3 linked regions of the Caenorhabditis elegans genome follow. The protein of the gene in region 1 interacts with the protein of each later gene in a pairwise test. Each region holds a gene or a part of one and is shown in the gene's direction. Other genes may lie near its edges.

Region 1 (12,295 bases):
CTATGTCACTGCAATCTGCCAAACTCAAACAAATTACAGTACCATGAAAACTTTCAGACCTCGCACAATGAGTTCGCCAGTGAAAAAGACACCAGTTATGGGTGTTTCCTCCACAGCAGTCCGACGCCCTCAGTCCGCAGCAACTACTACAATGCCAACTACCTCAGTTATAACAAATACATCTGCTGTGATGCCACTGTCGCCTGATCTCGAACAGCTGGAGGCTGCCATACAATCTATGAATGGTACGTTTTTTTCTTTGATTTTTCAAAACTTTCTGCACATTCTTATTTAATTTGGCAAGGCTTTATATTATTGTGTTAGTCTTTTCGTAGTTATGTCATTCTTCAGTTGTTACCGCCAGTCCCCCCGCATATTCAACTGCCATGGCCAAACGGAGTTCAAGTCTTCCGAGAGAAGCAAATAACAATCCACCAGGAGCTCCAATCCGTAGAAGCACGATGAACGGTGGAATGCACACATCTACGACGGGAGTCGTTAGCACTAGAATTGGCATGTTTTTGTAGTTATAGACTTGTGTTTTCTCGTTTTTTTTTTCAAGATGGCAGTTACCTTGAAAGAGCTGAAAGACAGTAGTAACTATGCAATCACTTGTAGTTTTGCGCTCAAGAGTATTGTTTTTGGTTTTCGGTATTGGGAAATTTCCATTTAGAAAACAAAATCATTCAGTCTTTGTAGGTGGAATATGAATGCAAATTGTGTCTGACTTTAAAAACTACTGCAGTTTTAAACTTTCTGCGGGAGTTTCATCGGTTCTTCAAACGTTTTTTTCTAGATTTGTTAAAATTTATGTGTTTTAAAAACTGGTTTTTTAATAAGTTTATTTTTATCGGAACCCTATGAAAAATCTATGAAAATTCCGCAGCCACACAAGTTTGAACTCACAGTACTCGCTAAAAGAGCATACCCTCCTTTTTTAGCAGACAGTTTTCGTTTCGAGACCGGGACCGTATTTTTAGCGCGAAAATCTGAAAATTTCGCATCCGGATAATACGAAAATGAATAAAAATAAATTTTAATATCTACATTTCTTAACTCCTACATTACTTATTCTGTTTTAATATGTTTCTTTTTTCAGCCGGACCTTCGTCAAACGTGGCAAGTGAACGAAAACTTTCTGGAACTGTAAAGCGGAACGGAATTCTCGCAAAAGCGTTTGGATCATCGAAATGATATTTTATATTCAAAATCTTAACTTACCTATCTGCACTTCTACCTAACAAACATTCATGGGTATTACGATTCTCTCATTCTTTCAGTTTTTGCTCAATTTTCTTACAATGTTTTATCGCACTTTTCATCATTTTCTTACTTGTTTGTTTATAGTTTTCATTTCGTGTAAAATCAGATCAAATTAAATATTGCACGTATAATGAAAATATTAAATTCGAGATATATTGTTCATTTAAAAAAAAGACGAAATCTAGTTTATAAAAGTCAGAAAAGATCCGTGAAATGATTGAAGCCTAGTGGTAGAGGAACGAGCGAGGACTTGTAATATTTTCGTTTTAAAAAAACAAAGTCTATTTTCACGAATGAATAGTACAAGTAGGGCACAAATGAGGAGGGGGAAATAGAATGAAAAGACGATATGGACCCGTCTATGGTCGATTTTCCAATAAGGAAAAGGGGTATTTCATGATGAGCATGTTCTACTAATATTGATGGATGCGAATTTGTCAAGAATATCATTCTTTAAACTATTATATTAAAATCAAAGTGTTCCGAATGTGAGGCAAAAGAAAAAAATGTGATCGAAAAAGATTTGGGGCCCTGGAAAGTGCAAAAAGAGTGAGATGACTGGTTGGATGGGTTGGAGCCAACTGAAAATAAGGCAAAAAATAAGAAAGAACTAGACGATTCATAAGAGGCACTGGATGAAGATGTCGCGGGACAAAACACGAAAGAAAATTGGAAAAAAGCATCAAATATAATTTGGTGTGATGATTGTAGAAAGTGAACTGTCGAGAAGACGTCGAGCCGCGTATGCTTCTTTGAAGATCGATGACCCAGTGTACTGAAATTACGAAAAAAATAAAATTTTTAATTTTTCAAGTTTAGTATAGGTGTTGGCGGCGAATCTCCTCGGCCAATTTACAAAACTTTTTAAGATTAAAATAAATGTAGAAATCATTTGCCGACAAAATTTATACACCATTACTTTCATAAATGGCATGTTTCAAGTAGTTTTTGATATTGTTTTCAAGTTTTTCAATAAAAATAAATTTTATTTCCAAACTAATCAAGTTTTTTTTTCTATATTTTTTTCAATTTCAAAAATTTTTTATCATATCGTAATTTCGCGATATTTGGGAATGTCGTTTTAAGATACACGCTATTTTTCAAATGGGTCTCGGAACGATCTCAGTCATAATGTCTGCTATAGCGCTACAGAAGCCAAATAGTGCTGATTTGTTTAATTTTTGGATTGCAAAAATGAAAGTTTTCAAGTAATTATATTAGCGAGCACTTACTCGGTTAGTCACATGATTTTTTGTGTTGAGGACAGTGTTGAGATCAGATTGCCAACTTGGTTCCCCGTGATCATCCATTTCAATCCGAGGACACCAACGTTCATGATTGTGAATCGGATCAAATTTGTTTCCGCACCTGGAAATGGAAAATTGGAAAAATAGGAAAAAACTAGAACGAGTATCGATTATAATTTTTAATTTAGCTCACGAACCTAATGGCTAACTCTCTGGCACAATTGTCACATCCAAAAAGAAGAGATCCTCGTTTTGGCATCGAAACATGCCATCCAAGAGCTGCTACATAAATAAGTTGTTCTGGAACTCCTTCAATTTTCGGAAGATTCACATCTGATGGGATATCAGCCTTCAAGTCTTCATCGATAATTTTTTTAGAATCAGACAATCTCCGTTGAATTCCATCCATTACTTCTTTGGCTGTTGGCTCAACGATTCGGAATGGTGGAGCACCACATCGAAGCTTGCAGGTTGTTCGGTGAGCTGTCGTCATTTTTTCGTGAATATCTCTGTAAAAAATAATTTTAATTCTCCCGAAATCCTAACTTTCACAGAAGAGGAACTATTCTATGAATTAATAATTAAATTTGAAAAACTCACTGAAGAGATGAGTTGTAGACGTTGAATGAGACTTTACAAATATTCGGGAGAACTGTGCTGAGGTATTGCTCACATTCAATGCATTTAACACAGTCTTTCTTCACACAAGCCCATCCATAGTCTGCGAGATCACGTGGAGAGACCGCGCATCCGTACCACGTGGGTGCCTGAAAAAATCGATATGACGAAAAGAAGACGAAAAGAATTATTGAGGATAAGGATTCTGTGAGAACTTAATATAAAGTAGCTTGGTTTCGAGAAACAAAGTAATTTTTCGAACGGAACCTGGCCGGTAGAAACAAATAAATCGATAATTTTGGGACATTGTCATTTTGTGAATGAATATAAAGAATTGTTGAAAATCTTATTGTATTTTCAACCCGAAAGTAAAGAAGAGTAAAATACGAATAAGATTATACCCCACCTTGTACGTTTTGATAATTTTGTGATATGTTTCCATATCTCTGTACTTGTGAAGAGAAGCAGCTTTCTTACATCTGAAAAAATAAAATTCGAATTAATACGAAGACGTTTTTCCACTGACCGTTTCTGTGGGCTAGTCGACGATTGTCCGTAATTAAGAATTTCATTGATCGAATCGGTCGCTTTTCGCTTTAACACAGTTGAGTGGCGGCTACTTGCCGTATCTACCTCCATAATTATTTTGTTTTTTACCTGAAAAAAATGAAGAAAATATGACGATGTTGGAAAAATGGATGCAATTGAGATTTAGGACAAATTTCCGATAAAACAGACGAACACTGTTCTGAGTGGTACCGTAGCAAAGAAACGCCGAGCGAAAGACGCACGCATTATAACGGGGAATGGGTCTCGCAGCGGTCTGCCTTCTCTCTCTCACAATTCTTTCACTGCAGCCCCCCTCTCGCTCCTCTTCCGCCATCGCGCAGCCCATCAATAATTCTTTGCAGGCTCCGTTCATTAACCTAAAATCAATAAATCTTGAAAATTGATATGTCAAAGGAAAGCCAGTCTCGTCCAGTTTTCTATTATATAAAAATAATGTTGAATGTGTGAGACAGAGTCGAGATAAAACAGTCTGAAAATACGGGTCACGTGATTTTGTTCTCTAACAATTTCCAGCGAGTAATTGAAAGCGAGACAAACGTATTTCAATTTAGTTTATGTTTTTTAACATCTTTCGACAGTGTCTGATACTCATTCTCAAGTTTCAATAAAATTACAATTGTTTTATAGAGAATGTTCGAGAAATATGCCCATTTTTCAGTTTATAAACATTTTTCTCTCGCGCAATTTTTTACAATCTAGCAGAATGTATTCTAAATATCACGATGAACACGCTGCGCCCAGTTATACCGCAATTTATTGATTTTGCTGACTCACTGTTTTTTTTTGAAGTATTGCGCGAAGAAAATGAATGAATCCAAAACAATTCAATAAAAAGCGAAGAAATGTGACAGAAGACGAATCGATTCAACGAAACTGTTTCAAGGAACACTATCTTATCGTTGTAATCAAATCGCGATATGCGGTTCGGTTCCCGTACGCCTAATGAAGCAAAATCTCGTTTCCGCGGCGAATTTAGAAATTTCCTCGTGCAGCACTTTCTCTAAAATGAACTCTCCAGATAACCTTTTTGTATTTCAGTAGTCATCTAACAATTTCCGCGTTAATACTCTCATTTTACAATTTATTTTACTCTATCCGTCTGCGTGCCTTTCGCATGTCTTCTCTCGTTCTCTCACTCGATTTATTGATCGACCAATTGGTCATGCTGCACTTCTCGTTTTTCTCTTCTCACTGCCTTCAAGTCTTTTCATTTTTCAGTGTTCCTACTCTCAATCCTCACTTGTTTTCCACGACTATCGCCAAAATGTCTACCTGCAGCGATGAAAGTTGCGATAAGGAAGTGAGTTTGATTTCGGAAACAGATTTTGAAATATTTCTGAAAAAATCCAATTTCATAATTTCAGTGCCCTTTGTGCATGGAGACCCTTGAACTGGATGACATCAACTTTTATCCATGCAAATGCGAGTACCAGGTAATTTTTTGTTTGAAAATCTAACAACTAAAATTAAAAATAGGAAAATCAGAAATATCCGCGTTAGGAAGATGAGTTGCTTGCGTATATAAATTGTCATCAAAAAATTCTTCTCTGACTTAAAACGAAACTCTTTTTTCAGATTTGCCGATTTTGCTGGCATCGTATACGAACCGATGAAAATGGATTATGTCCTGCTTGCCGGCAGCCATATCCTGAAGACCCTGTCAATTTTAAGGTTTGTTCAATTCTTAAGGTTATTTCTCAAGATTTCCACAATATATATGTTTCAGCCAATGACAACCGACGATGTGCGAAAACACAAGGACGAACAACGATTGAAAAAACAAGCGGAAAAACTGAAATTATCGGATGCACGCCAATATCTTTGTAATTACCGTGTACTCCAAAAGAATCTTGTCTACGTCGTGGGATTATCACCTCGTGTAGCAGATCCTGAGATTTTGAAGAAAAATGAGTATTTCGGTCGGTACGGTAAAATTCAGAAGATCGTAACGAGTGCGACACCGTCATTACCTGCACCTCATCTTCCACCTAGTCATACGGCTTACGTAACGTATAAAAGAGTTGATGACGCGCTAAGAGCAATTCAAGTGAGTTTCTTTTAAAAAATTATATTAAAACCACCTTTTGAGTTGCATAAAAACACAATTTCTGCATAAACTTGAATTCCCATTGTTAACATTTTATTTTCAGGGCGTACATAACTCAATGTTGGATGGTAGGTTAGTGAAAGCATCACTTGGAACAACCAAGTATTGTTCTTCATTTTTGAATAGTCGGAAGTGTTTCAAACCGGTCGGTGTTCGTAACTACGCCCACCTCCACATGATCAATAATCCGTCTTGTTGCAGGAATGTATGTATTTGCATGAAAACGCTGAAGCTGAAATAAGTTTCACAAAAGATGATATGCATCTTGGAAAGCACACAGAATACGAGAAACGATTAATTGAATCGATGAATAGCCGACCTCCGCCGCCACAATCGACACTTGCATCACAATTGGATAAAATACTGGCGCCAACGTATGCAATAAATTGATAATTATTTTTTAAAAAATCGATTTACAGGTCAAATTCACCACGGCGATATCTTGAAGATGATTCTGACACAGTTGATGACGTTGAGCGAACAGGTTTAGTCTAAAATCTTTTAACTTAAAATAAATAATTTGAATATTCTGCAGGCTCAGCGATACACATGTGTGCGGATGATCCTGATGATGATGATGCAGATTCTACGAACACAAGCAATGTAATAGCATTTTTTTTTTTAAAGCTTAGCTTCAAAGTTTTTATTTTCAGTCTATCGACGACCCGGCACCTTCAAATCCAGCAGATGAGACAGTTAACAGTAGACGGAGTAATCAGACAGCCAGAGAGCGACAGTGGTCAGAACGCGACGAAATTTCAGTGGCGCCCAGCAATACACCTCCTACAGATCCTGAAGGAAATGAAAACGAGTTTGAAGAGGACATCCATAGGTATCAATTTTCAGAAATTTCATTTATTTATCAACAAAAAATTGAACTTTTCAGAAACGATGTTAGTGATCTTATGTCAAAATTAGATGTAAATGACGACCGGCTGGCCCGGACATCATTCTCAGAAAATGATTATCTTGGGATTCCGGCACCAGCAAAGCATCAAGAAGCACCAGCTCCTCTTATGCAATGGGAAGCATTGCTCGGATTGTCATCACCTTCTGCACAATCAACGATCGTCGAACCTTCGTCACTATTCCCAACGTTCAAAATGGATTCAGGATTCAATTCACAATCGTTATTCGGAACACACACATCTAGCACACCGTCGTTCAGAAGAGAGGCTAGTCCTCCACCCGGTCTCGCTAGGTTCAATTCAGACGATGATCTTGGATTCGATCCGTTCACCGAATCATCAAAGGGATTGTCAGCGTTGTTACAAGAAGAACAAGAACAGATTCCACCACACAATTCAGCATCAAATCATACTTTAGATGTGTTAAAACAGTAAGTAGTATAGGATAAGAATATTCACTAATCATTCGCAGTTCTAGATTGTTTGGTCAATTACCCGAGCAGCGACAGTCAACCCAGCAGCATCCACAACATCTTCAATCATCACATCAACAGCATCCATTACAACAGAATCAAGATCAACATCATTCGTTCCTTCATCAGTTACATGCACAGCAACAGCATCAACAACAACAGTTTGCAGCAGATATGAACAGGCAACAGGACTATATGTATAGTAGACTTATGTCACAGCAACAACAGCAATCACAACAGCAGAGACAGTTCGACTCGACGCCTGGATTTTCACATCCATTCGGAAGTGTAAGTTTCAATTTAGAAAAATTGTTTTTTTCGCGAGTTCATTTGTTTCTTGACAAAATATTGATTTGCACCAGAAAGGAAGTATTCGAGGTCAATAATTAGACTTCCAAATTACTTAAACCTTCGGAATTTGAAAACGGACCATCAAAGTAGCTCGGGATAGAAGAGTATTTATTTTGAACTAGAAAAAAGTCGATCTGAAATTATTCAGTTCATTATTTAACTACCTTAGATGTCTGTGAAATGGCTCCAGACGTGTATTTCTGCAGCTTTTCGATGATAAAGGTACCTATGGTTTGAAAAAAAATTTCCAGAATGCCTTTGAAATAATCAAAATTTGTAAAAATGTAGACTTGGAGCAATTTCACGGGCCTCTAAAGTAGTGAAACAATGCACTGAACAATTTCATATCAGCTTTTTCCTAGTTCAACACGGTCTTCTGCTGCTTATTTTTTGTAGAAACCTACTTTGAATAACTTTTTTAAAAAATTTACTAGGTTTCATCCGGAAGTCTAAAACTGAAATAATTTCCATGTTAGTAAACTTTATCCATGATCAAAATTGTTCCAGATGCAGCAGCAACAACAGTCTTCACAGCAACAACAACATCAGTCTCAGTCGTCACAGTCGTCCAGTCTTCTACAAGACTTGTTCAATCGCCAACAGCAACAACATCAAGCGCAGCAACAAGCACAACAACATCAACAACAGCAGATGTATGCTGGAATCAACTCATACATGTACAATGACATGTTGATGCCTCGAGTACCATTTGGAATGGCACCACCTCCAGGACTCGGAGGTCCATCTACGAACAGATCTTCCACGACACAACAAGCACCTCCACACATGACACAACAATCACAACAACAACAGCAACAGCAACAGTCAAGTATGGGATTGTTCGGAATGGGAGGCCATCAAAGTATGATGCAGGATCATCAATCACAGCAGCCACAATCTGCACAAGATGCATTCAAAGCTCTTCTTCCAAATGTAAATGTTCGGTTTATGGATGATAATTCGATGTCTCGTTGGTCGCATGAGAACAGTCTGCGATCATCAGCCGTCCCACCACCACCCGGTTTTTCTTCTGTGATGAACCGATAATTTTGGCACAATTGCACACACACACACAAAAGCACCCACACACCCTCATTCTAGTTATCTTCTTCTATTCCTACCGTTTTCTCCCTTCATTTTCGAATTCGAAAGACAAAGAAAAATTTCTGATGTGTATCCCCATTATTCCCGTTCCCGGTTGTTGTAGATGATTCTTTTTTAATATCATCAACTCCAACACATTCTATTATTCTTCATAATAATATTCTTCATATGTTATTGGCTCTCTTCTTTAATCATTTTGTCCTCTCTTACGACATGTATCATTAGCTCATTTTGTTGGAGTCGCCTCCGCCTCGAATTCAGATTCTTATTCGTGTTTGTTGCTCCTCTCCCATAGAAAATGCTTTGATTATTTCGTTTCCTTTCCCCCCTAAAACACCAACGGACTTGAACTTAAAGTTGCTCTCGCGAACAGTCGTGCAGTGAACAGACTGCAAAGCTGACCATCTGAATCGTGATGAAGCTTCTCTTTCTTTTTTCTCCTTTTTTTTGGGATTCACACATTAGAAACGGGACGGTTCTATTTATAGCTTCTTTTATTTTTTCTGCTGTCCTGGTCATTCCTTTCCTCCTTTGCGTCCCGTTCAAATTTTTATTTTCTTTCTCCCTCTTTTTGTGGCAGTTTTCATGTGATTTCTTTATTTAAGTTGTACCCTCAACTAATCTAAGAATCAACGTGGTTTCTGTATTTCTTTTTCTTTTGAAAGTTTAGTTTATTCAAGTTTTTGTCGTTACCATTTTCTTTCATACACGTATCACCCAGAATCTTCACTTCTCCTCGTTTGAGAACAGGATGACGGGCGTTTTTAATCGTATTCAGTAGAATTTGCTTTTCTTCTTTTAGGCGATTGGATTTGCTTGTATTTTGAAAGTGGTACGGCGAATAAAGAAATTATTTGGTGGAACTTTATACACTTTCATTAAACGAGACGAGTTGACAGGCTAATTTTTATTTTAAGAAGACACAAACCAATAATACATCATTTAACATTATTGGCATTGTTTCAGGAAGGTAGTTTTAAAATCAAAATGGCAGAGGATTTTGATATTGAGAAGTTTTTAAAAACCGTGGCCGAAAAAAATCCAGAACTTATCGAAGGGGTCGAAGGAAATAGTGAAGATTTCAAAACTGATGAATTTGAGAAAAATCTAGTGGATTTGCATCCGGAACTTGCAGAAGAAATTTGTGATTTTGATGAAAGAACTGTAAGAGAGGAAAAAGAAAAGACTATAAGTAAAAAGTTCGTTATTTTTAAAAAATATAACTTTCAATTAATTGAAATTTTGAAATTTAGATGTAAAATATTTTATGGTAGTCGCGAAGTTGCCGGCTTAAAATAGTCCAACATGACCGAATATTGAATTTTGAAATGTTTTTCAAGTCTTACTATTTTATAGACGTCCACAAATGCGAATTTTCGCCATATCTTACACGCATGGTCTCACCACGAACACATGAAGTTACAGTAGCTCGATGCCTGCGTGGCGAGACCCGTGAGCGTAAAATAAGACGAAAATTCTCATTTTGGACGTCTATGTAATAGTAACACTTTAACATTTTTAAAAGTATCTATTATTTACTCAATTTTCAAGTATCATAATTTTGGAAGTCGACCAAAAGTACTTTAAAAATGTTCTTAATTTTGCACTATCTATGTATTGTGTGTATTTATACTCTGAATGCTAGCAATTTTCGCGAGCAAAACTCAAAAATTCCAAAACAAAAAGCCTATGATTATTTAAACAGTCAAACAATTCGAACTATTGGAAAATTAATTTTAAAGTTTTAATATTTTTTCAGACAACAAGCTCGAGATCGTCAAATACGATTGGAAGCAATGATGACTGATGGACGAAGTGTAATTGAAAAAAAAGGAATAACATTTCACGATAAAATGATTACAATTGAAGGACCAATGTCGATGATTGCAAATGCAGTTATAAATCAAAAGAGAATTGAAGTAAGAGTTCGTTCGGCAATTCGAATTGATCGGATTTTCGAGGGAATACCAACCACTTTTGATGAACATTTCAATTTAATGATGAAAGATGTTACGGAAACTGTTCTACATGGAAGGTTTTAATGATTTTTTCTTCTTCGTTTACTAAATTAATATAAATTCAGAAAAGCACAAAAAGAATTCACAAATCGGAAAGAAATGCAACTACTACTGCCAGAGTTTCTTCGGTGGAAAGAAGGTGGAAATTGGCCTATGAAAGTTGGAACAAATCGTCTTATAGAACATCGTTTCCAGAGAGCATGCTTCATTAAAGGAGATTCCGTTGTTTTGGTACGAATGCTTCCATAGATATCATGAAATTGTAGAAAACGGGTTAATTTTGGAATTTTTACAGTTTTTGTCTGAATGAAATTATTATCATCTGAAGTTGTGTAAATTTATGAAATTTTTTAAATATAAAAACTTTTTTATATACCAGTTTTTCATTCAGTACCATTAAACAGTGTCAAATTGAAAAAAAAATGAAAGAGCTACTGCAAGTCAAATGAAAACCCAATTTTGTCGTGTATGACAAAACGGGAAAAGAATCTAGAAGTGAATAAAATGGGTGACATTAAACGTTTTTGGGAGCATTGATGATGATGTTGATGATGATGTTAAAAGGAAGGAACATAATTTGTTGAGTATAGAAAGAGAAAAACACCCGAATAACGTCAAGTCTGCAAATTTCAATAGAATTTTCAAAAAGGGCACTTAGGAATTGTGAAGGAAAAAGTTGAACAGCGAACAAACAAAAAACCATCAGAATACGGGTAAGGGGAATAAGATTAACAACAACTTGATCCAATTCTAAGAACATTTAAGCGAAAAATTGGAAATATGAAAACATTGAGCGCAATAACAAAAAAAACAATTGATTTACAAATTACGAGGAAAAAAGAAAAATGGTGAATATGACGGCGAGAAAAGGGCACCAGGGAGATGGTTGAAATTGAATTATTGAGCACTTTGATTTCGAAGCGAAGAATACAGATTCATTACCTTAAATAATTTTAACCATTTTTATGATTCAAAAAGTAATTTTTTAGGAAAATTTTAAAGATTTTAAAAGAACTTATTGAGCATCACGTCATTACTAACTATGTCGATTTTTCACTAAAATCGAAACACGAAAATTTTTCGTTTTTCGATTTGCAGAATTATCAAATTAAAAAATGTTTTAGGTTTTCCGTTTTTCCAATATTTCGAAAAAAAAAACCATTTTTCGAAAAGAGCTTAAAATTTTGGTCAGTTTTTTTTATTTTTAGAAGAAAATTATGTTTCATGGTCATGGCCAGAAACAAAATTTGATTTAAAAAAATTTTATGGTTAATTTTATAAACATTTTTTCTCGATTTTCCAAAGAATCGAAAATTTTCGTTTTTATTTCGAGTTTTTTCTTTTTTTTTAATCCAAAAAATTTCCGATGACGCATTTGGGGAAAAATCAATTATCTTTTTGAAATCGAACGAAAGTTCTTCACAATTTGATTTTATAACGTTTTCGTTGAAAAAAGTAAACTAACTAACCTGTTTATCTAGATTCTTTCCTTTCAAATTGGTTAATGCTGACAGTAGTTGATCTGAGAATCCATTGGGAACAAGCTCTCTGAGTGCTCGTGTAAATCCATCCGGATCAGATTGATGTAGACTGGTTAATGTAGCACACACTTCATGAACAACCAATGTGCTTCCAG
Region 2 (12,236 bases), on another chromosome or scaffold:
CAACTTCATCTGACTCATCTTCAAATGTAAAGTTCCTCGGCGTCTTTCGCAATGTTCTGAATGTTGTCGATTTCCTCGCGTAACCTCTGCTATCTGTTAACGGGTGTCTTCTTATCAGTTTCACTTTTTCTTATTTTTTTAGTTGTCAATCTCTTGCTAGTAGTTCCCTGATTTTTGAAGAAAAAAGCTCGTCCCAGAAATCTTGCAGAGCTGGAAAATCATTAAAATCCATATTCCTTCTTTGGAAGCGGTCATTTTCAAAACTTGTATATCGATTATATCTTCAAATTTTAATTTTTTAAAATCATTTTACCCAGTTGTAAACAAGTTTTTCATGAACAAATAAAAAACAGCATGAAAAGCATAATCTTGGTAGACATAAGGGTTAGAATTTTGCCTAAAATTATAAAAATGGACCGAATAAATTCAATAATGTAAAAAAAATGAACAAACATTTCTCAAGTTTTCAGTTTTCCATAAAAAATTATAAATTTATGTAAAATTATCGATTTTTAGACCAATTTTGAAGATTTTCTTTCGGGTTATCAAGTTTTCTTTACGAGAAAATGTCATAAATTTTTTTGCAAAATTGAAAAATCATTGGTTTTTTTTCTTGAAATTTAGAATAATTTTATAAATTTTTAAACACTTTTTTAAAATTCGACCATTATGCTCCATTTTCTAGCATTTTAAGCAACCCCGTCTTTAAAAAGCTGCATTTAAATTATATTTAGCTTTAAAACTCTTTTTATGCTAGGAAAGTGAAATTTCGTTAATCATTATCCAACAAATGCTCTCTGTCGGGATAAAATTTAACTTTTCCAATTGTTTTCCAGATTTTTCCAAGTAGCAACCCTTGAGTGTGCCCAATCATTATGCCTATCCACACACACAAACATTAAGTAGTGGGTAGGCTAGAGTCTTTCATGCACAAGCAAATATACACCGATTCGTCTTTTTTCCCTCTATCTGCCACATAGATAAAAGAAAGAATAACCTTCTCCTCCCCCACAACACCACCACCACTAACGGCGTCTTCTTCGTCTCAGTTTTCTTTGCTTTACGTAATCTACGTCTTCTATTTTTTCGGGGTGCTCTCTTCGGTTGGAACTATGTGTGAGAGTAGTGTGTTTCGTGTGTCTGTGTGAGTTTTTCCTCATCTTTCTCTCTCTTTTCGCGCGGAAAGAGGGCGCCCGAGGTCGGAGAAAAAAAATGAAAGGCAGAGAGGATGGAGGACACAGAGGAACGAAACGAAAATAACTGAATCGATACATCTGTGGGGTTGGCGGTGTTGAAGAGAAGAAGACGAAGAAGAAGATGAGGGGGTGGAGCTCTCCGTGCACAACGGCTTCTCCTCCCCCATCTTTCTCTCCCGTGCTTCTCCTTTTACTAGAGTCCGGCGTTGTGTTGTGTGTGTGTGTCCCCGCCTTTTTCCGGAATACGAAAGTAGGTCTAGTTAATGGTTAACTACCTCTCTTGCTCCGAAGCAGGCTTTTTCTTTAATTGCTTCTTGCAACTTTTCTGAAGCTCTACCTTTCTACTGGGAACTTGTTTTCTTTGAAATTTAGAGTTTTTAAAACTTCCTTCAGTTCTCATTCTCATGCTTTATAACCATAAAAGTGTACATCAGAATAAATCCTAGATCATAAGATCATTCACATTAGCATTTCTTTTTGGAATGCTTTTTCCGAGAAAACTGCACTTTTGAGGATTTTATCTTCGAACTGAAAATTCGAGTTGTACTTTTGAAAAAGTTTGTAGCGATCTACCTGATGTCAGTTTTATTTTAGATTTCCTGCACAGTTTCTTTCATGAATTTATAATGTTCAACCTTTAGTTCTCTCAGTTTTAAGGTTTAATGCAAAGTTTTACATACAGCCTGAGGGTCTGTGGATTTTTTTGTTTTAATTGATAGAAAATACCAGATTATACCTATGAAAAATAGTTTTTAAATTTCAAAATTTGATGAAAAATCCGAAAAAAGTGCCAAATTTTGCTTATAATCGAAATTTTTCTAGAAAACCGACCAAAATATACAATAAAGATAAATATTTTGATTAAAAAAAACTGTATTCCAACTGCTGAAACAAGGGTGGAAATTATTTTTACACTTTTTAATTTATTATTACAAAATCATTAGAATTTATAATTTTTCAACAGTTTTATCTGATCTTTAAGTGGTATTTTCTTTCATTTAAAATAAAAAATCCACAGGCGAAACTCCAAGAATTCAAGAAGCTCATTTTATCGAAACTTTCAAATCTTGCTCACCGTGATTCCCAAGTGTTTTAAATCTAAAGGAAAATAAGTCTGGTTTTTGAATATTTATTTTCAGTTGTTTTAATTATCAATTAATTAACATGTTATTCCGAATCTAAAACTCAAAATTTTCAGAAAAATGTCGTTGTCGGGGTTACGTAAGCAATTCAACAAGGCGAATCAATACCTTTCGGAGACGATGGGCGCCGCAGAGCCAACAAAACTTGACGATGTGTTCAATGAAATGGAGAAAAATGTGGATACAACGTATAATTTAATTACGGATCTCGTCGCCGGAACAAATGAATATCTTCAACCAAATCCAGCTACTCGAGCAAAAATGGCCACACAAGTTGCCCTGTCAAAAGTTCGTGGAACTACAAAAACGTCACCGTATCCACAAACAGAAGGAATGTTGGCTGACGTCATGCAGAAATATGGACAACAATTGGGTGATAACAGCGATTTGGGAAAGGTTTGCCATCCCTTTTGGAATTTTAATTTCTGAAAAAAAACCCATTTTTTAGCAACATTTGTCAATATTTGTTCTGTGAGCAATTTCTGAAAATGTGACCAAAATACAGCAAAAATAAAATTACTATTTATTTTGTTTATATTAATAATTTAATTGAAACATTAGGTTGATATTAGAAAACCACTACTTCGGTATTTTTTAGATTAAAATTTTTTGCACGGCTTCAAAATCTTCTTAATCATAATTTTAAATTACAATTTTTTTCAATTCCAGAGCCTAAACGATGCTGCAGAAACGTATCGACAAATGGCTGATATCAAGTATCAAATGGAGGATAATGTTAAACAAAACTTTCTCGATCCATTAACACATTTGCAGAATAATGAGCTGAAAGATGTGAATGTAAGCTTTTTTGCGTAAAAAAGGGTTTATTATTAATTCATTATTCAGCACCACCGCACAAAACTGAAAGGACGTCGACTTGACTACGACTGCAAAAAGCGTCAGCAACGACGTGATGATGAGATGATTCAGGCGGAGGAGAAGCTGGAAGAATCAAAGCGACTCGCTGAAATGTCAATGTTCAATGTGCTTAGTAATGATGTGAGTTTTACGATTTTTTTTTGGAAGTTTTTACTATTTTCCCCTATTAGACTTGCTATTTGACATCGGTTACCCTTAGTTTTATTTTTAAGAAGGATTATTCTCAAACTTACGAATATAACAAAAGAAAAACGGGAAAAATCCGTTAAGATTTCGAATTTTTATGTCAGAAAAATCAACGAAAAACCTTCAAAATTTAACTAGCGAAATCATAGGCCACGAGGATTGTTCGAATTTTGATCCTGTTCTATACTATGTTTTTAATCAGTATTTTATACAATTCCTTTCAATATAAGCTGTCAAAGTTTAATTTTTTTTTAATCTGCTGAAATTTTTTTCCACTTCCCCTTTTAGATATAATCACAAAAAAATTCTTTTCAGGTCGAGCAAATATCTCAACTACGAGCCCTCATTGAAGCCCAACTCGATTTCCACCGACAAACAGCCCAATGTCTCGAAAATCTACAGCAACAACTTGGCCATCGAATCAAAGATGCAGCTGCCAGGCCTCGTGAAGAGCATGTTCCATTATCAGTTCTTGCAAATGAGAGCAGAACTCCAAGATCCAGGTTGGTATAAGCATGAAGAGTGAGAAAATGCATGTTTGTTGTGAGATTTTGAACGCTCAAAAAGACCTAGTTTTTAAAAAACAGCTAATTTCTTGAGATGCACTTTTGAGATTCAGCTGAAATCTCCAATTTCGCCAACATTTTATTGAAATGGAGCTGCCCCAAAAAGCTGAATAAACTACCAAAAAAAATGTTGAATATTGGAGGATTAATTGAAATTTCGGGCCGCTGTGGCACGGAAAAATTGGCAAAATTGAAGTTTTTTAAAGCTAAATTTAGATTTTTGTTTTCTTCTCAAAACTTTGAAACGCCATGAAAATTGTACGAGAAGTTAGAATAGAATTAGTTATTTTTAAGAAATTTTGAATTTTGAGTACAGAGATTATTTCATAAATCTACCTGAAAATTAGTTTTTTCAAAAGATACGAAAAAATATATAAAGCCGGAACTAGGCGTTTTCCATTTTTGTTTTCGATTTAAAAAGGTCCCACGCATCATAAAAAGAGAAAACCCCCTGTGCTCTTAAGAAACGGAAAAAGCACTGAAGCATCATTCACAAGTAATAAAAAGGAGGAAAACATATGAAGCACAGACATAGACATGCAGAGTCTATGATTGATTACATCGCATTATGTCTTTTTACGGCCGGAGGAATACTTTTTTGGAAGGAATATGAATGTAAAAAGATCGTTTAATGACTGATTGACACGAAAATATTGAAAAATTGAAATGTTTTCGGTGTTTTTTAAGCTAGACTAGTTTAAGTTTTTTTGAAAGTTGAGAAATTTCAAAAAAAATTATTAAAAGAAACAACGTAAATTTTGATTTTTGATTATCTTTGAAAAAACCGAAAAATTGAAAATTATTCTACGACACAACCAAAAAAACATTCTAAATTTAATTTTAAAAAAATAAGAATTAAATTTCGTTACAGTACCCCCCGCTACAGTACTCCCTGATTCATATTGTGATTGATTTTTTATTTTTTGCATGCTAAAAGCCTCTTCCAAAACATCTCTTCAGTTTCAGATCGCCTGCTCCATCGGATATGAGTCACAATTCTACGGCAGCCGCAGCCGTACGTTTTTTTGTTTCAGAAAAAATTGAAAAAAGTGCGACTTTTCAACAAAAAAAACACGAATTTTGGAGATTCAGTTTTTCGGATTTCAATTACTGAAATTTTTTGGAAAATGGTATAATTTTAAAAAAACACTTGTAAAAAGACCGGAAAATGTTTAAAAAATGTTTTTGAAACATTTATTGAAAAATCAAACTTTTCAGATATTTTTCGAGACGAGAAAACTGAAAATTCTTGATTTTTCAGAAAGCCGAAATATTGATCAATTTTCTGGATAAAATTAACCAAATATTTCAATTTTTTAGTTTTTTCTCATAAAAAACATATAATTTTTCTTTAAAAAAACAGAAGTGTCTAAACTTTTAAAGAAATTTTTCGCAAAATCAATTTCTATTCGAACCGACAAAACTAAAAATTTAAAAACGAAAATTCCAGATTTTTCGGTTTTCCGGAAATCCTAAAAATCGGAAAAATATTGGGAAAATTGACAAAAAATTTCAAACTTTTAAAAATTTGGTTGATGAAAAAAAAAAGTCAATTTTCTTCTTAAAACGGGTAAATTTTCTCGAAAAAAAACTACAAATTAAAAAAAACCAATTTTCTAAAGTCGAATTTTTTGTTTGTTGAAAATAAGTTACTTTTATAAGAGAATTGTGTATTTTCCCATCAGCATAAAAAATTTGAAGATTGAATTTTTTAAATCAATTTTCTAAATCGAAACTATTCGTTTTTCAATTTTTATTTTAAAAAATCGAAAAAGCGATACCCTTGATTAGAATATTTTGTTTTTGAATAAAAACCTAGTAATTCAATTTTCAATCCAATTTCTAATATTATGTCCAGTTTAAGATGCCACCACAAAATGGAGGAGGAATAACACAAGCACCACCATCATATCAAGGACCTCCACCAGGTGGACTTCCACCTCCACTCTCCCAGCAGCAGAAGCCACAATGCAGAGCTCTATTCGATTTTGATGCTCAAAGTGAAGGAGAACTGGATTTCAAAGAAGGAACACTGATTGAGTTGGTATCACAAATTGATGAGAATTGGTACGAAGGACGTGTGAATGGAAAAACTGGATTATTCCCTGTTACCTATGTACAGGTTCTAGTGCCTCTTAAATAAAAAAAAATGTATTTCTCCCTCCAAAACCCAGTCAATTCTTTCCATTTTTTGCTGTTTTATTGCCAATTTCTCGTTTTCTCCCCAACTCCAAAGCCATGCTCCTCATCTTTGTCTCTTGAATTTTATTTCACAAAAATATTTTATTTCCCTTTCCAAATCTCACTTTTTCTCTAGGAACCCCTGAAAAGTACTCATTTAGAAGAGAATGGGCTATGGTCTCTATGAGGCTAAAATAGTTAATTCTCCTGATCCATTGTGCCGAAATCTTTGTATTTATTAAAACACTACTTGCTTTATATACATCCACTACTTTCCCCCAGTCTGCCACACCCGATGCGTTTTCCAATAGCAATACCCTGACCCACATTACCATGTATTCTATGTACTCTCTACACTACCAAAAATGTGCATTTATCAAATCTCCCTTAAAATAGCAGCATGTTATTAGTTTTTTTAGCTTTATTTAGTAACTTATTTTCAACATCAAAAAATTCATTGCAAAATTACTTATTTTCGTAATTACTTATTTTCGAGTATATGAATTTGATTTTAAACTATTTTTTTTTTGAACTCGGAGATGGAAAAAAGTCAAATTTCTTGTCTTATCAATTTTAAAATTGTTTAAAAAAAGAAGTGGATGAACAAGAAAATCAATAAAAAACTGAAATGAAAACGAAATTTCGAAATATCCGGAATATTATATTGTCCACGAGGAGTACTGTAAACAGACACCCAGTTATGTTATTAGTGACGTCATATACTTGCACCATCTGCTCTCATACCTGTGCACCATATATCTCATCGATTTTTTTTTGAACATGAAACGAATGCAACTATCATTTCGTCCATTTTCTTCACTATGGAATTCAAATCGAATTAAAAAAGGTAGAAGTTGTTCCAATCAGAAGAAGGTAAATTAAATTAATTTTTATTTGTTAGATCAAAAACTATAAGTTTCAGAAATGTAACTCTTTCAATCTACTCCAACTACCATACCTAGCATTTCGAATTGTTATTCATCAATTAAGTATTTTTTCAGTGTAAGTTATCCCGTGGTGTCAGACTGTCCCATTATGGTTTGATCTACAAAAAAGGCGGGATTTTTTTGCCCAAAAAATGTGACGTCAGCATTTTTTTAACCATGCGAACCAGCATGGGACAGCCTGACACCACGTGAGTTATTCCAACATTACATATCGTACACCCTTCAATGTTAGTTATAACATAAAATCACATAAAAATTACGGACAAATCGAGCGAGAGTGAGATCAACTACATTAAAAACGTTTTAATTTTAATTTTGGCTGAATTTTTTTTTAGAAAATCGCAGTTTTAATAGTTGTATTTTCAATTCTTTCTCGACGCTCTAGAGTATTTGAACAAAATCCCAATCTACAGTGTTACAAAAGCCAGTCTGAGACAAATACTGCCCAGTTACGGAAATTCGTGATTCTTGACCGGTCTCGGCACGAACGAAATTTGTAGCCACTGTACCCAACAAGAGTTTCGCAATTTGCTTCGCTCTTTTTCTTAAAGGTTTGCCCAAACAATATGGTTGAGCCCCCGTAAAATGCCACGCGATACTGGTAAAATCTCCAAATTATTGCTGGTACGGTAGCTGCTAATTTTTGGTCGTTTCGAGACGCGGTGACGTAGCGCAACTGGATAATAGAGCAAAAAGCAATATTTTTCACAATTAATTAAACAATTAAGAATACGATCAGTTCGATCAGTTCAGTTCTTTTAATTCCTAGTTAACCTTTTTTCTCAAGTTTTTACTTTGGAAATACATTTATATTTGTTGATGTTTCAGATTACAATTATCTCAAATTTCAAGAAGAACTTTGAAGAAAATACAACAAGTGAATCGGAAAGTTTATAAATTATTGGTCTACAACCATGAATTCACGCCTTATGGTGGCCAAGAACATCTTAAGACTTATTCAGTTCGGCAACTCGTTGTTATCGAGAACATAAGTGATTATCAAGAATTTTATGATATGATGTGGTCACAAACTACTGTATCCTATAGATTCTTGACAACTCCTCCGGTGACATATTGGATCCGAAGCGTAATAAAAGAGTACGTTTCATCTTGAATTATGTCTGAAACTGATTCAGTTTCAAGTTGTTGAACCTCGTTTCCACCGGGAACGGAGGACTCAAAGATGGTTCCCAAAGACTTAACACTTCTCCAAATATGGAATTTACTCTTGAGAATACATTACATACCGTATATCCTCTATTAGTATGGCGCCTCTATTAGTTTTGCACCCCTTCATTTGTTCCCTATTTTTAGGTATTCAAAATTTGAATTATAAACTCGTTCTACAAATCAGGAAAATTCTTACAGACTATGGTTTAACAAGTAAAAATTGGCAAAATATGAGTAGAACTCGGACAATTTTTGCGTATTAGTCGTAAAATTCGCCCACTTTGGTTTATAAGTTATTGAAATTGATGATATTATGCTATAACTTGATGGAAAACATGAGAAAAAACCTGTTCGAAAATTAGTTTTGCACCCTCCATTAGTTTTGCATCAAATTAGGTGTCAGAAAGTTAGTTTTGCATGCCTTACTAATAGAGAAAATACGGTATATGTTATAACCAGGGCTTCCATGTAGGCGTCAAAACGCGTGCCTGCCTGATCTTATTGTTAAGGCGATCTTCGCCTGCCTCTCCCGTCAGTCGCGCCTTATGCTAAAACATCAAAATAATATAAATGATAAACTTAGAAGTTTGTAAATTCATGTTAAAATTCAGATAAGAGACGGATGGCCCGTGTGGGGCGAGCATGCCTCAGGCAGGCGTTGGGCCTGAAACCAAGTTTGCATACCATGGAAGCCCTGGATATAACAAACCCATTTCAGTTATCCCAACATGAAGCTTAACGGAATATCATATATGTCGTATGAAAACAAAAAGGAGCTCGAACACTATTTGAATGTATTATATAACACATTTTCGATTGATCATCTCGACCTTATGACGGATCGCGAGAAGATTTTTGGAGATTACAGAAAAGTTTTTAAACATCCATTGTTTCGTAAATGTCATTATGTAGAGTTTCACGAGCCTTCCAAGTTTTCAACAAAAGATTTGGAAAATCTGCAGAAAATGTTTGATTTGCATAAATTTTATGCGCGATGTGATCAGAAGAAACATTTCAATTTTCAAAAGGTAACAGTTCTATCCTATGTCATTTGGAAACTTCTGTTTAAACTAGAATTGTTATGTTTAAACTAGAACAAAAGTGGATTTTTTTAAAAATGTTTGAAAATTTTTTTGTGACGAGCTAGTCAAAACATAAGCTTTTGAATTTTATGCTTTTTTTTTTGAAGTCTAAAACTTCTTTTTCGTGTAGAAATCTTCGATCGCGTTGACCCTGGTGTTTTATACTTGCGTCATAATTCGCGATATTTTTTATTTGGGTAATATCATGTCTAACAAAGTTCAGATGCTGAAGATTCCGCGGATTAGTGTCCACGAAGCTTACAATATCAAAATAGAGGACTTAATGAACAACAACTGCAAAGAAATAATATTATGGAATAACGATTTACAAATATTTGAAATAACAAAATTCATTTGTCATTGGTTATCTGGAAAATTGCCAAGCCTTGAAAGACTTCGACTACATATGTTTCACGATTGGGAAATTTTTGAGGATATCCTGATTGGCATTGATAACAAAAAGAGAGATGAAAATCAACCGAAAACATTAAAGTAAACATTAAAAGTTTTCAACTTTCAGACTATTTTAAATATTATTTCAGATACGGAGTTTATTCCCTGGATTGTTCAAATGGACGAGATATTATTCGGAAAGATGGGCAAATTGCTACTCTTTTTACAATTGGATATGCTCTCGAATTTGTTGTAAGGGATTTAACATTATAATATGCGTTTATGATATCCTCTAGTCTGTACATTCTGAAAAAAGACCTGAATGCATGTAATATGTATCCTATTAAAGTTTTGATTAAAGATTTAAAACTGATTTTTTTTATTTTTAAATTTTCACAAAATCATTACTAAATGCGTTTTTCGTTTTTCAGTGATTTTTCAAACATTTCAAATGAGTAGAACTCTGAAACCGAAAATTTCGGCAAGAACAGTTCAACTAACAAACTGCTGCTCTCACTTTTTTCTGCACGAGAAAATATTTTTCGAAGTTTCCCAACAAACCTGCCAAGCCTGCTGCGCTGCTGCTGGGAGCCTGCCAATGCGCCCGACATCTAGCGAGCCCAATTTCGACAGTTTTCCTTTAAACACTTATAATTCAAGTACCTACGTTTTCATGCACCGATGTTCTAAAAGTGTAATACCCTTTTCAAAACTTTTTTTAAAAGTGATGTATCCTTAAAAACAAATGTAGCAGTTACATTCAACTGAAAATCAAGATCAGAAAAAAAATGTTCCGTCATTTTTATGAAATACGTTCAATCTTGGCCAGTACAACGCCAGTTTGAACGTTATTTCTGAGTCGTTGGTCACATGAAGACGAAGTGATTATATGCATACAATGAGCGACAATTGCCGTTCGGCAATCGAATTCTCGGCAATTGGCGATATTCGGCAATTCCGGCAACCTCTCTTCTGCTAAACAGTGAAAAATGAATACAAAATGAGTAAAATGAACTATATTTTGTTCACTTGTTAAGAAAAAGTGTTAAGAAAAGTGACAGACATCCGGGACCCAAAGGGTGCGGGGCGCGGGAAGAGACGATTTACGAAATGCTGACAACAAGAAAAACTCTGTAAATCGACACAAATAGTCTCTTCCCGCGCCCCGCCCCTTTGGTTCCTAGATGTCTGTCACCCTCTAACTATCTACACTCTCTGTACCGGTAATAAACCTCAGTGAAAGAAAAATTTCGCCTTTGATAATTATATACTACGCTTTTTTTCGCCACTATATTTACCTCGCAGCCGGCGGGACATCTCGCCACGCTCACAGCGAGTTAAACACATCGGAACTCGTGAGATGTCGGCGGCTGATATTGGTTGGTGTCCCGATTTCTGCCAAGTCCCCATGAATTTCCTAAAAAAGCGGTGCCTAGATTTTGGAATTTCTGTGTACACAAGGTTTACACGAGGCCACGATGTTTATTTATTTTGAGTGTGTAATTATTAAAATGATAATTAGGTACTTGGGTATTTCATGCCCTCATTCCAAAAGTTTTTTTTTAAGTTAAATAAAGTGTATTCTATTTTTGCGTTTTTAGGCTTAGGCAATAACATTTTCTGAGTCTAAAGAGGGAAAATGGACATCACGTTTAATTTAAATGAATAAATGAATGAACATTAATTTAATTTAATTTAAAAATGAGGGCATATAATACACAAGTACCGATAATAATTATTAATTGTTCTTCGTTTTGCTGTTTATTTCCATGTCATTTTTAAACTTTTACAAAATAAATTGTCAACTTAACATTAACATGGATGTAAAAATGAAAAAGCCTACAAAATCTCAATTCCTTTAGCTGAAAAGCAGTATGTGCTTATTCGATGAGCCATACCACTTTGTACAACCAAAGAGATTGAGATATGGAGGGAAAAAATTAAAATTAAAAGTGAGAAAATAATGGAATATTTAGAAATAAATGAAAACGATGAAGAATAGTGTAATTGATGCCTTCTACTTCATCTCATCACCCATTTTATACCGCACAGGAGGAGATCAAAATCAGGCGAGCGGGGAAAGTGGGCGTGTCTCTCGAGACACTGTAAGATGGACAATGGGCACCCCGCTGAGGAAAGAAGGGGCGCACACACATCGAAAAGAGATCCGTTTGAGATAGAAGGTTTTGAGGCAAAATGGAAACACAAGGAAAATGAGTGAAAACGAGAAGAAGAAGAAGGAGATCCGGTTAATTTCGATGGAATATGTCCGGATTTTTGGCGGGGAGGAAAAAGATTTTAAGATTAGAATCCCGAATTTCGAGATTTCCACGGATATCATGCAAAATTTATAAACTTTTCCTTTTTAATTAGGTCGCACTTTTCGGAACCAGTTTTCACCCGGTTTAAGCATAGCTTAAGAGTTCTGAAAAATGTTAACGCCAACCTGGAACTGGAAATGTTTGAAAATTGATAAATCAGATATGTTTTTAAG
Region 3 (8,380 bases), 1.5 Mb from region 1:
ACTGAACTCTCCACTTTCTTCTCATCGCGTTCGCCGGATTTCTTCTCCCGTGGCATCATGATGTTACCTAGTAAATGGCAACAAGTGGTGGACACTAATGGTGAATACTTGTGTGAATAGTACTACTTGTCGCTTGAGAGAAATAAATTTTTTTCAAAAAAAAATAGTACAAAAACTTATGGGACAACCTGATATTTGAGAGGTTTACAACAAGAAGTTAAAATTAAATCTACAATAGGTTTGTGGAACATGACGGTTATAATATTATTTTTATTTATAGATTTGAAAATGAAAAACAGCTTCAAATCAAATGTAATTGCGTACAAAATGTGATATGGGAACTGAGCTGACAAGAATTTTTAGGGACATAGTAATTAGACAAACAATAAAATTAGAGAAATTGTGATAAATTGAAGAAGAATGTTGTGTTGTGTTGCAGAATCCGGTTGAACTCCACTTCCTATTCGCCCACCTCGAACGACTGGTTTGGATGGAGTTTCAGGGTCTGGCAATGAGATTTTAAGAAGACAATTCAAAATGTTTTTGATTTTAGAGAGAACAAGATCAAACTGTTTTATTTTTTCTGACTTATAGCTTTTTTTCATTTTGAATCGAAAATTGTAAAAACCAGCACCTTATTGAAGAATCATTACCTATATATAAAAAAATAGTGTCCGTTTGTTAACAAGTGACGTCATAGCTTACAAAGGCAAGGTGTTTTCGGCTGTTGGAGGGATATTAGTTTGGGGTTAGTAGGGGGATATGGGCGGGGTACTGTAGTAGTACTGTAGGAGTACTGTAGGAGTACGGTAGGATTACTGTAGTTTGGGAAAAATTGTGTTTTTGTCTTTTGAAGAGATATAGGTTTGAGGTTAGTAGTGGGATATGGTCGGGGTACTGTAGTAGTACTGTAGGAGTACTGTAGGAGTACTGTAGGAGTACGGTAGGATTACTGTAGTTTATGAAAAATTGTGTTTTTGTCTTTTGAAGAGATATAGGTTTGCGGTTAGTAGTGGAATATGGTCGGGGTACTGTAATAGTACTGTAGGAGTACTGTAGGAGTACGGTAGGAGTACGGTAGGATTACGGTAGTTTATGAAAAATTGACTTTCCGTCTTTGGAAGGGAAATTGGAAACTTCGGGAAAATTCTGAAATGTTCCAGAACCTTCTGGGAATTTCTGGAAAATTCTAGAATGTTCCAGAACCTTCTGGAAAATTCTGAAAAGCTTTAGAACCTTCTGGAAAATTCTAGAAAATTCTGGAATGTTCCAGAACCTTCTGGAAAATTCGAAAAAATTCTGGATTGTTCTAGAACCTTCTGGAAAATTAAAAAAATGTTGCTGCGAGATCTTCGTGGCGAGAGCCATCGTGGCGAGACCCATCGTGGCGAGACCCACCGTGGTGAGACCCATCGTGGAAAGACCCATCGTGGTGAGACCCATCGTGGTGAGACCCATCGTGGTGAGACCCATCGTGGTGAGACCCGTCGTGGTGAGACCCACCGTGGTGAGACCCATCGTGGAAAGACCCATCGTGGTGAGACCCATCGTGGCGAGACCCATCGTGGTGAGACCCATCTTGGCGAGACCCATCGTGGCGAGACCCATCGTGGTGAGACCCATCGTGGTGAGACCCATCGTGGTGAGACCCATCGTGGTGAGACCCATCGTGGTGAGACCCATCGTGGTGAGACCCATCGTGGTGAGACCCATCGTGGTGAGACCCATCGTGGTGAGACCCATCGTGGTGAGACCCATCGTGGTGAGACCCATCGTGGTGAGACCCATCGTGGCGAGACCCATCGTGGCGAGACCCACCGTGGTGAGACCCATCGTGGAAAGACCCATCGTGGTGAGACCCATCGTGGTGAGACCCATCGTGCCGAGACCCACCGTGGTGAGACCCATCGTGGAAAGACCCATCGTGGTGAGACCCATCGTAGCGAGACCCATCGTGGCGAGACCCATCGTGGCGAGACCCATCGTGGTGAGACCCATCGTGGTGAGACCCATCGTGGTGAGACCCATCGTGGTGAGACCCATCGTGGTGAGACCCGTCGTGGTGAGACCCACCATGGTAAGACCCAAAATTTTGGCGGGAAATTTAAACTTTCTGAGAAAAATATTTTGGCGGGAAATTTAAATTTTCTGTGAAAAATATTTTGGCGGGAAATTTAAATTTTCTGAGAAAAATATTTTGGAGGGAAATTTAAATTTTCAGTGAAAAAATTTTTGGCGGGAAATTCAAATTTTCAGTGAAAAAATTTTGGCGGGAAATTCAAATTTTCAGTGAAAAAATTTTGGCGGGAAATTCAAATTTTCAGTGAAAAATTTTTGGCGGGAAATTCAAATTTTCTGTGAGAAAAATTTTGGCGGGAAATTCAAATTTTCAGTGAAAAAATTTTGGCGGGAAATTCAAATTTTCAGTGAAAAAAATTTTTGGCGGGAAATTCAAATTTTCAGTGAAAAAATTTAAGCGGGAAATTCAAATTTTCAGTGAAAAAATTTTAGCGGGAAATTCAAATTTTCAGTGAAAAATTTTTGGCGGGAAATTCAAATTTTCTGAGAAAAAATTTTTGGCGGGAAATTCAAATTTTCTGAGAAACTTTTTGTTAGCTTAAGTACCACCTGGAACTGGCGAGACCCATCGTGGAGAGACCCTTAAAAATATGGGCGGGAACTTTAAAATTTATGAGAAAAGAAATTTTGGCGGGAATTCAAATTTTCTGAGAACAATTTTGGCGGGAATTCAAATTTGCTGGGAAAAAAAATTTTGCGGGAAACTCAGATTTTCTGAGAAAAAAGATTTTGGAGGGAAATTCAAATTTTCTGAGGAAAATGCTTGGCGGGAAATCCAAATTTTTGTTCTGGAATCAATTTTTTTGTTTCAGCACCTTCTGGAAGTTTCAAGAAAATTCTAGACTGTTCTAGAATCATCTGGAAAATTCAAAAAAGTTCTGAAATGCTCTACAACCTCCTATAACTGTAGGAGTTTTTATTTGTTTCGTTACATCTATATTCAAAGAACTTAGTAGTTAATTATTCAGACTTCTCCAGTTAAGGAAAGTTATTAACTTATTAAAAAAACTGTAACTCTGTGGAATTTTTTCGAAAGCCTGATAATGATAATGTGTTAGTAGAAAAATCAGAACATTCTAACTGTCTCTTTGAATTTTCTGAATCGTATACCATGGAAGGAGAAAATGCGATTTAATCGATGAAGTTTCAACTTTTTTTAATGAGACATTTTTGAATGATTAAAAGGACAGCTATTTGTTATACATTTTAAACTCCGCCAGTCGTTGGCCGCGCCGGAGGCGCGGTCATCGGCTGGTTTACAATAATTTTCTTATTTATTTTACACTTCTCATTCTTTTGCTTAATTTTTTCTGGTTACCTGCTGGTTGAATTGGCTTCAAACTCTCATCAGCGATCTTTGCTATCTCCTCATCAGTAAGGGTCTGATCAGGAAGAACAACACCGTCCAAATTGTCTGCGTCAACTACACTCTCTTCTGGAGAATCAGCAATTTCTGATTCGACATTGATGGCATTTGGATCTACATCTCCTACGTCGGAATCTTGAACTTCGGATTCTGTTTCAATTTCTGGAATAAAAATTTTTTGGAGTACAGAGAAACTAGATCTTACCATCAATCTCCTTAGCCTTTATCATAACATTCTCATAAATTGCTTTTCCAAAATCTCTTGCTAACTCGACGTTGTCTTCGATGTTTTCATCCTGCAAAAAAGTTATGGAACCTATTGGACAGTTGTAAACAACTAACCTCATCTAAAATTACGTTCCCACTTTCGTTCACTTCTTCCACATTGTCATTATTCTTCTCTGGCTCACCAACTTCTTCCACAGCCGAATCAGTATCGATACGATCTCGATTCTTTGGTAAATCAGAAGATTGTTCACTATTCCCATCATCTTGATTTCCAGTTTGAACTTCTTTTTCAACTTCATCTGCTGATTTATTGCTTTCATCAACTTCGTCTCTTGAAATTGCCAATTCTATCTTGCTACTTGGTATAATGACCTCTTAAATAAAAATTTTTTTTAATGAGTTTTACAACTACGATATTTTTTAGAAGTCTAATTTCTTGTATATCTACTTTACCAGTTTATATCTCTTTTTTTTGGTGTTACAAATAAAATTTATCAAATCTTGATTATTGGTATCAACATTTTTAAAATCCAAATTGTTTTTGATCGCCTAAAGCAGCCGATATAACATATTCAATGTTTAAATTCTGTTTTCCCGACTGATCAATATATGTCATAAATCATTAACATGACACTCTTTTATGTACCAAGTTGGTATTTATTATCTCCAGACGGCCTTCTATTTTCCCATTTCAGGCCAGCACATCGTCTCCCTTGGACGCTCAATAGAGCATTCTTCGCCCATTTACCACCCTTAAATACACCCAAATGTATTCTTGGAAGAACATGCTCATTTGTATATCAATCGTCTTTTAGAGAATTACCAGTTTCTCGATTTGACTAATTTTCTTTATAGTTTTGCATTTTTCAGCCTACATATCTTTGTTTTTGCTGTTCCAATATTTCCACGATTGTTTTTTTTAAACAGTGTTTTCTATTCTCTTACTGTACCCTCTTGCACTATTTTTTCAATAGCATTATACTGAACTATAAAAGTATTTCATTCCAGACCCCCCGACAAAAACTATGACTGAAAACGTCGAATACATCCGAGTGTTATTGAAATCTTCACAAGCCGAAGTTCAAATGCTCCGCGAGCAGAATGAGTTCAGAGATGACCTGCTGAAAATGTTCAAAGTGAAGCTTGAAGTCAATGCTCTGAACAATTTACCAGTTCGACGTAATCTTTCTGTTGAAATTTCAAACCTTGAAACCAAGAAATTGAAAACAGAAATCGCATTTTTAAAAGAAGAACTTGGACGGGAGGGAAAGAAACTGACAATCGCAAATACAGTTCACGAGCAGTTGAAAAAGGATCTGGAAGCAGAAAAGAGAAATTCGATGTTTCTTTCGGAATTACTGACGTTCTATCAAAATGGTCACCAACCACAATTACCAGCAGAGGATCAATTTGTCGATTTTCTTCAAACAGAGACGAGAAGTGTCAAGGAAGCTTTAAAAGAGAAAGAAGAAGAAGTGAAAAGACTATTGGTGGACATGGAAGGAAAAACTTTTCAGAATCTAACTGAAAAAGGCCGTATGGAAGAAGAAATGAACGATGCAAAAAGAGAAGCTCAGATTCTTCGCAATGAAATGAAATCTCTTCAGAAGAACATGACTGCCAAAGAAAATGAGTTGCTCGGATATCTGAGAGATGCATCGGAAACTCATACAGAGATGCAAAAAGATTACAAAATTCAAATTTTGGAGCTGCAGCGAAGAAATAGAATTTTGGAGCGACACTTGGACAATATTCAATAAAAGAATACAATCCATTAGAAACCCTCTTGGAGTATTAAGAAACCGTAAGAACAATTTGCAATATCTATTCAATGTACGACTTTTAAAATGTTTTGACTTACACTTCTCTGATGATTTTCTTTGTCTACGATTAATAATAAACTTCTATAAACTCTAATATACAAGAAATACTGTTGCAAAACAGTTAAGACGGATATGAGCTAAGTTATCAAACTAAATATAACAGTTGAACTATTTCCGAAGTCAGGGATCACTTTCTAAATTATTTGCAAACAAACTTTAAAAGTTCTAACTAACTCACCAATATCTGTTCTCTTGAGCTCTTCATCGCCTCCATCGACATTTGTTTCTCCATCATCCACTGCATCATCAGTCTTCAAGTCTTCATCAGACTCACCAGAATCCGTATAATCAAGTTTTGGCAATCCAGGAACATCGGGAACTGATTCTAAAAAATATTTCAGTATCGTACATACTTCAGAGGTTATATTTTATAGAAATTACCATTTGGTTCCTTTTCAACGTCATCATATTCTTCCCCGGCAGTTTCTTGTCCTTCTGGTAAAAACTCAGCTTTTGGTGATAAATCTTGATTATTTGGGTAAGGCTTGTAATCTTGTTGCTCTCCATTTTGTGGTGCATTCGGAATGTTGTAAGTATCATCTGGAATTTTATTACAATTTTCTGAACCTATGATGTTTTAAGTTAATGATTTAAAACTCAATGTCTTCTGTAAGCTATACCTTCTGGTGTTTTCTTTGATTCTTTTTCATCAATATCGATTTCAATTGTGATAGGTTGCATGAGATATTCGAATTCTGTGAATATTAAAATTAAAAGTAAATTAACAGAGGTACCTGAAAATTCTACGCAAAATTTGGCAAGATCGCCTATTCATCCTCGGAGGCTCAGAAATGCCCTGCCTACTTTAAAGGCGACCTACGTCTACGCCTTGCTCCTATACTCGTGTCAGGTGAACTTTCAATAACTCAAAAAAAAAATATGCGTAAAATTTCAGACAACAAACACACAAAAGCTAGAAGGAATACATGTATTACGTTTCTGCCTAGCATGGAATTCTTTCATTTATCTTTGTTTCCGTTTACAAAACATACCGTATATTCTCTATTAGTGCTGCATATCCAGTAGTACTGCAGTCTCTAATAGTGCTGCATTCAAAAAATGTCCAAAAAATAGTGCTGCAGTCTCTATTAGTGCTGCACCCCATTTTCTATTGGAAGAGTCACTTGACAGTTTCGATATTTTTGGGTATTTTTTTTGTATATTTTTGATGATTTTTTGATAATTTACAAAAGTAATTGAATTATTGGGTCTTTTTGTTACAAAAGTTCGCAATTTTTATGAATTTCTGCTTAAAAAATGAGCTTTTGTGACTAAAAACTAGTGATCTATAATTGAAAATAGCCGTTCGAAAATTAATGCTGCAGTCTCCAGTAGTACTGCAGTCTCTAATAGTGCTGCATTAAAAGAGTGCCTGGAAATTAGTGCTGCATGCAGCACTAATAGAGAATATACGGTACCTTTTAAAACACGTCCATTTTCATCGACGGGAACTGAAAGTCCTCCATCTTTATCAAGATGCCCAATTCTCGGATCATTTAAGTCTTCAACTTCTTCCTGCAAATTATGAAATTTCTCAATTTTCGAAATATACTTATATCTACCTCATCGGTCGGAAGTGCTGGAATAACTTTTCCTTTTTCAGTGTATCTTTCAAATGGTGTTCCATCTGCAAGCCTTGTCTTCTCTGCTCGGTAGTTGGCTCCTCCTGGGGCGCGACTTGGGTGCGACTGGCGCGCGGAAAGAGGTGAAATGCGCCTGGCGCGAGGATAGGGCGTGACTGGAGCGCGGAAGAGGCGAGCTGGGATTGTGAAAAGAACACTTTGAAACTGCCAAAGTGTCTACATAAGATTTATTAATCCATTTCTTGCAAACATAAAGTTGCTTTAAGACATATTTTCGAACAAAAGTGGATTGTATTCGTTCTATACGTTAATTGTAAAAGTTTTGCAGCCATGCTAGTTACAGAAAAACCAAAATTTCAATTGAAATTCTGATATGAGATCGGAAGAAAACAGTAGTCTTGATTTTACAACGAAATTGTATTAAAATCTATCAAAAACATCGTACTGATGATCTCATGATGTTACGATGTAAAATACTTTTGTTGGTAGGTTGTTGCCAACTTTGTTAAGGGTGGAGTAACGACAGTGAGGAAAGTGTTAAAAAATACTCCAATGGTGCCAAAATGTCCGAATATCATAACACAAAACTCCAATTATTTTTGAAAATGTTTTATTTACTGTGAAAAAAGTGGAAATTACTCAGTTTTTGCACTCATAACTTTGGAAGTCGACAAAAATAATGTGTTTCCTACATTTTTGCACTTTAATTTTGCTTTAATTATTTTTATTGTAGCATTGTAGTGGTCAGAACATGCAAAATTCCTTTGGATTTCCTCAAAAGCTTATATTTTTCAAAAGTTTGGCAATTTGCCAAAACTTTGACCGGAAATTTGAAAAATCTAAAAAATTTTAGAATGTTTTATTATGATGTTCTGCCGTTTAGGGTTATTATAAGTGTATTTACAGTTAGACAAAATTCCGACTGGCTTATACTCCGCTTTTAAAGTGTTTTCAATGAGTTGGCAGGTTTTTGCCAGAAAGTTGCCTTAAAATGCCAAGAATACGTTCCGATAGAAAGATATAAAAGATATGTATAGTTTGCGTAAACATCTTCAAAATAATTTTCTGGATCACATGTCTCGTTGTCATATTTTATACGTTTAGTATTGTGGCATGCCATGGAACCATATTACTGAAAGCTGAAAGAGACTAGATTGGCAATTATTATATGTCATATGCTTGCATCATACATATATAAGATATAAGTGAAGATATATCAACCTGTTTTGACAGCGAGACTG

What was found.
Region 2: the proteins of ntl-4 (region 1) and unc-57 interact in a two-hybrid assay, tested with the Caenorhabditis elegans proteins (one large-scale study listed by BioGRID).
Region 3: the proteins of ntl-4 (region 1) and F56D5.5 interact in a two-hybrid assay, tested with the Caenorhabditis elegans proteins (one large-scale study listed by BioGRID).

What each region holds. Positions count from the first base shown.
Region 1 is NC_003282.8:7,905,684-7,917,978, forward strand, and holds ntl-4 (CCR4-NOT transcription complex subunit 4), read left to right. Parts: upstream 1-4,891; 5' UTR 4,892-4,962; coding exon 4,963-4,998; intron 4,999-5,062; coding exon 5,063-5,131; intron 5,132-5,273; coding exon 5,274-5,369; intron 5,370-5,424; coding exon 5,425-5,745; exon of another isoform or gene 5,746-5,848; coding exon 5,849-5,956; intron 5,957-6,006; coding exon 6,007-6,179; intron 6,180-6,224; coding exon 6,225-6,289; intron 6,290-6,340; coding exon 6,341-6,408; intron 6,409-6,458; coding exon 6,459-6,637; intron 6,638-6,691; coding exon 6,692-7,144; intron 7,145-7,185; coding exon 7,186-7,474; intron 7,475-8,044; coding exon 8,045-8,584; 3' UTR 8,585-9,506; downstream 9,507-12,295. Other genes in the region: cbpl-1 (Cortactin-binding protein-2 N-terminal domain-containing protein), read left to right, coding at 58-245, 352-513, 1,100-1,194; npp-27 (C3HC-type domain-containing protein), read right to left, coding at 1,946-2,038, 2,496-2,631, 2,708-3,019, 3,111-3,277, 3,535-3,607, 3,655-3,767; C49H3.4 (Sm domain-containing protein), read left to right, coding at 9,629-9,840, 10,401-10,676, 10,725-10,908; xpo-3 (Exportin-T), read right to left, coding at 11,557-11,601, 12,129-12,295.
Region 2 is NC_003279.8:4,672,741-4,684,976, forward strand, and holds unc-57 (Endophilin-A homolog), read left to right. Parts: upstream 1-2,394; 5' UTR 2,395-2,398; coding exon 2,399-2,734; intron 2,735-3,007; coding exon 3,008-3,136; intron 3,137-3,184; coding exon 3,185-3,337; intron 3,338-3,718; coding exon 3,719-3,906; intron 3,907-4,929; coding exon 4,930-4,984; intron 4,985-5,827; coding exon 5,828-6,112; 3' UTR 6,113-6,667; downstream 6,668-12,236. Other genes in the region: T04D1.2 (F-box domain-containing protein), read left to right, coding at 6,931-7,023, 7,073-7,152, 7,926-8,195, 8,986-9,295, 9,573-9,841, 9,892-10,015. UniProt on the Caenorhabditis elegans protein: Involved in synaptic vesicle (SV) recycling in neurons probably by regulating clathrin-mediated endocytosis. By controlling SV endocytosis, regulates the rate of excitatory postsynaptic currents (EPSCs) at neuromuscular junctions and thus locomotion.
Region 3 is NC_003282.8:9,404,423-9,412,802, reverse strand, and holds F56D5.5 (Coiled-coil domain-containing protein 69), read left to right. Parts: upstream 1-4,698; coding exon 4,699-5,433; downstream 5,434-8,380. Other genes in the region: F56D5.6 (FK506-binding protein 5-like), read right to left, coding at 375-505, 3,398-3,607, 3,651-3,741, 3,788-4,047, 5,735-5,881, 5,938-6,096, 6,177-6,251, 6,975-7,071 and 1 more.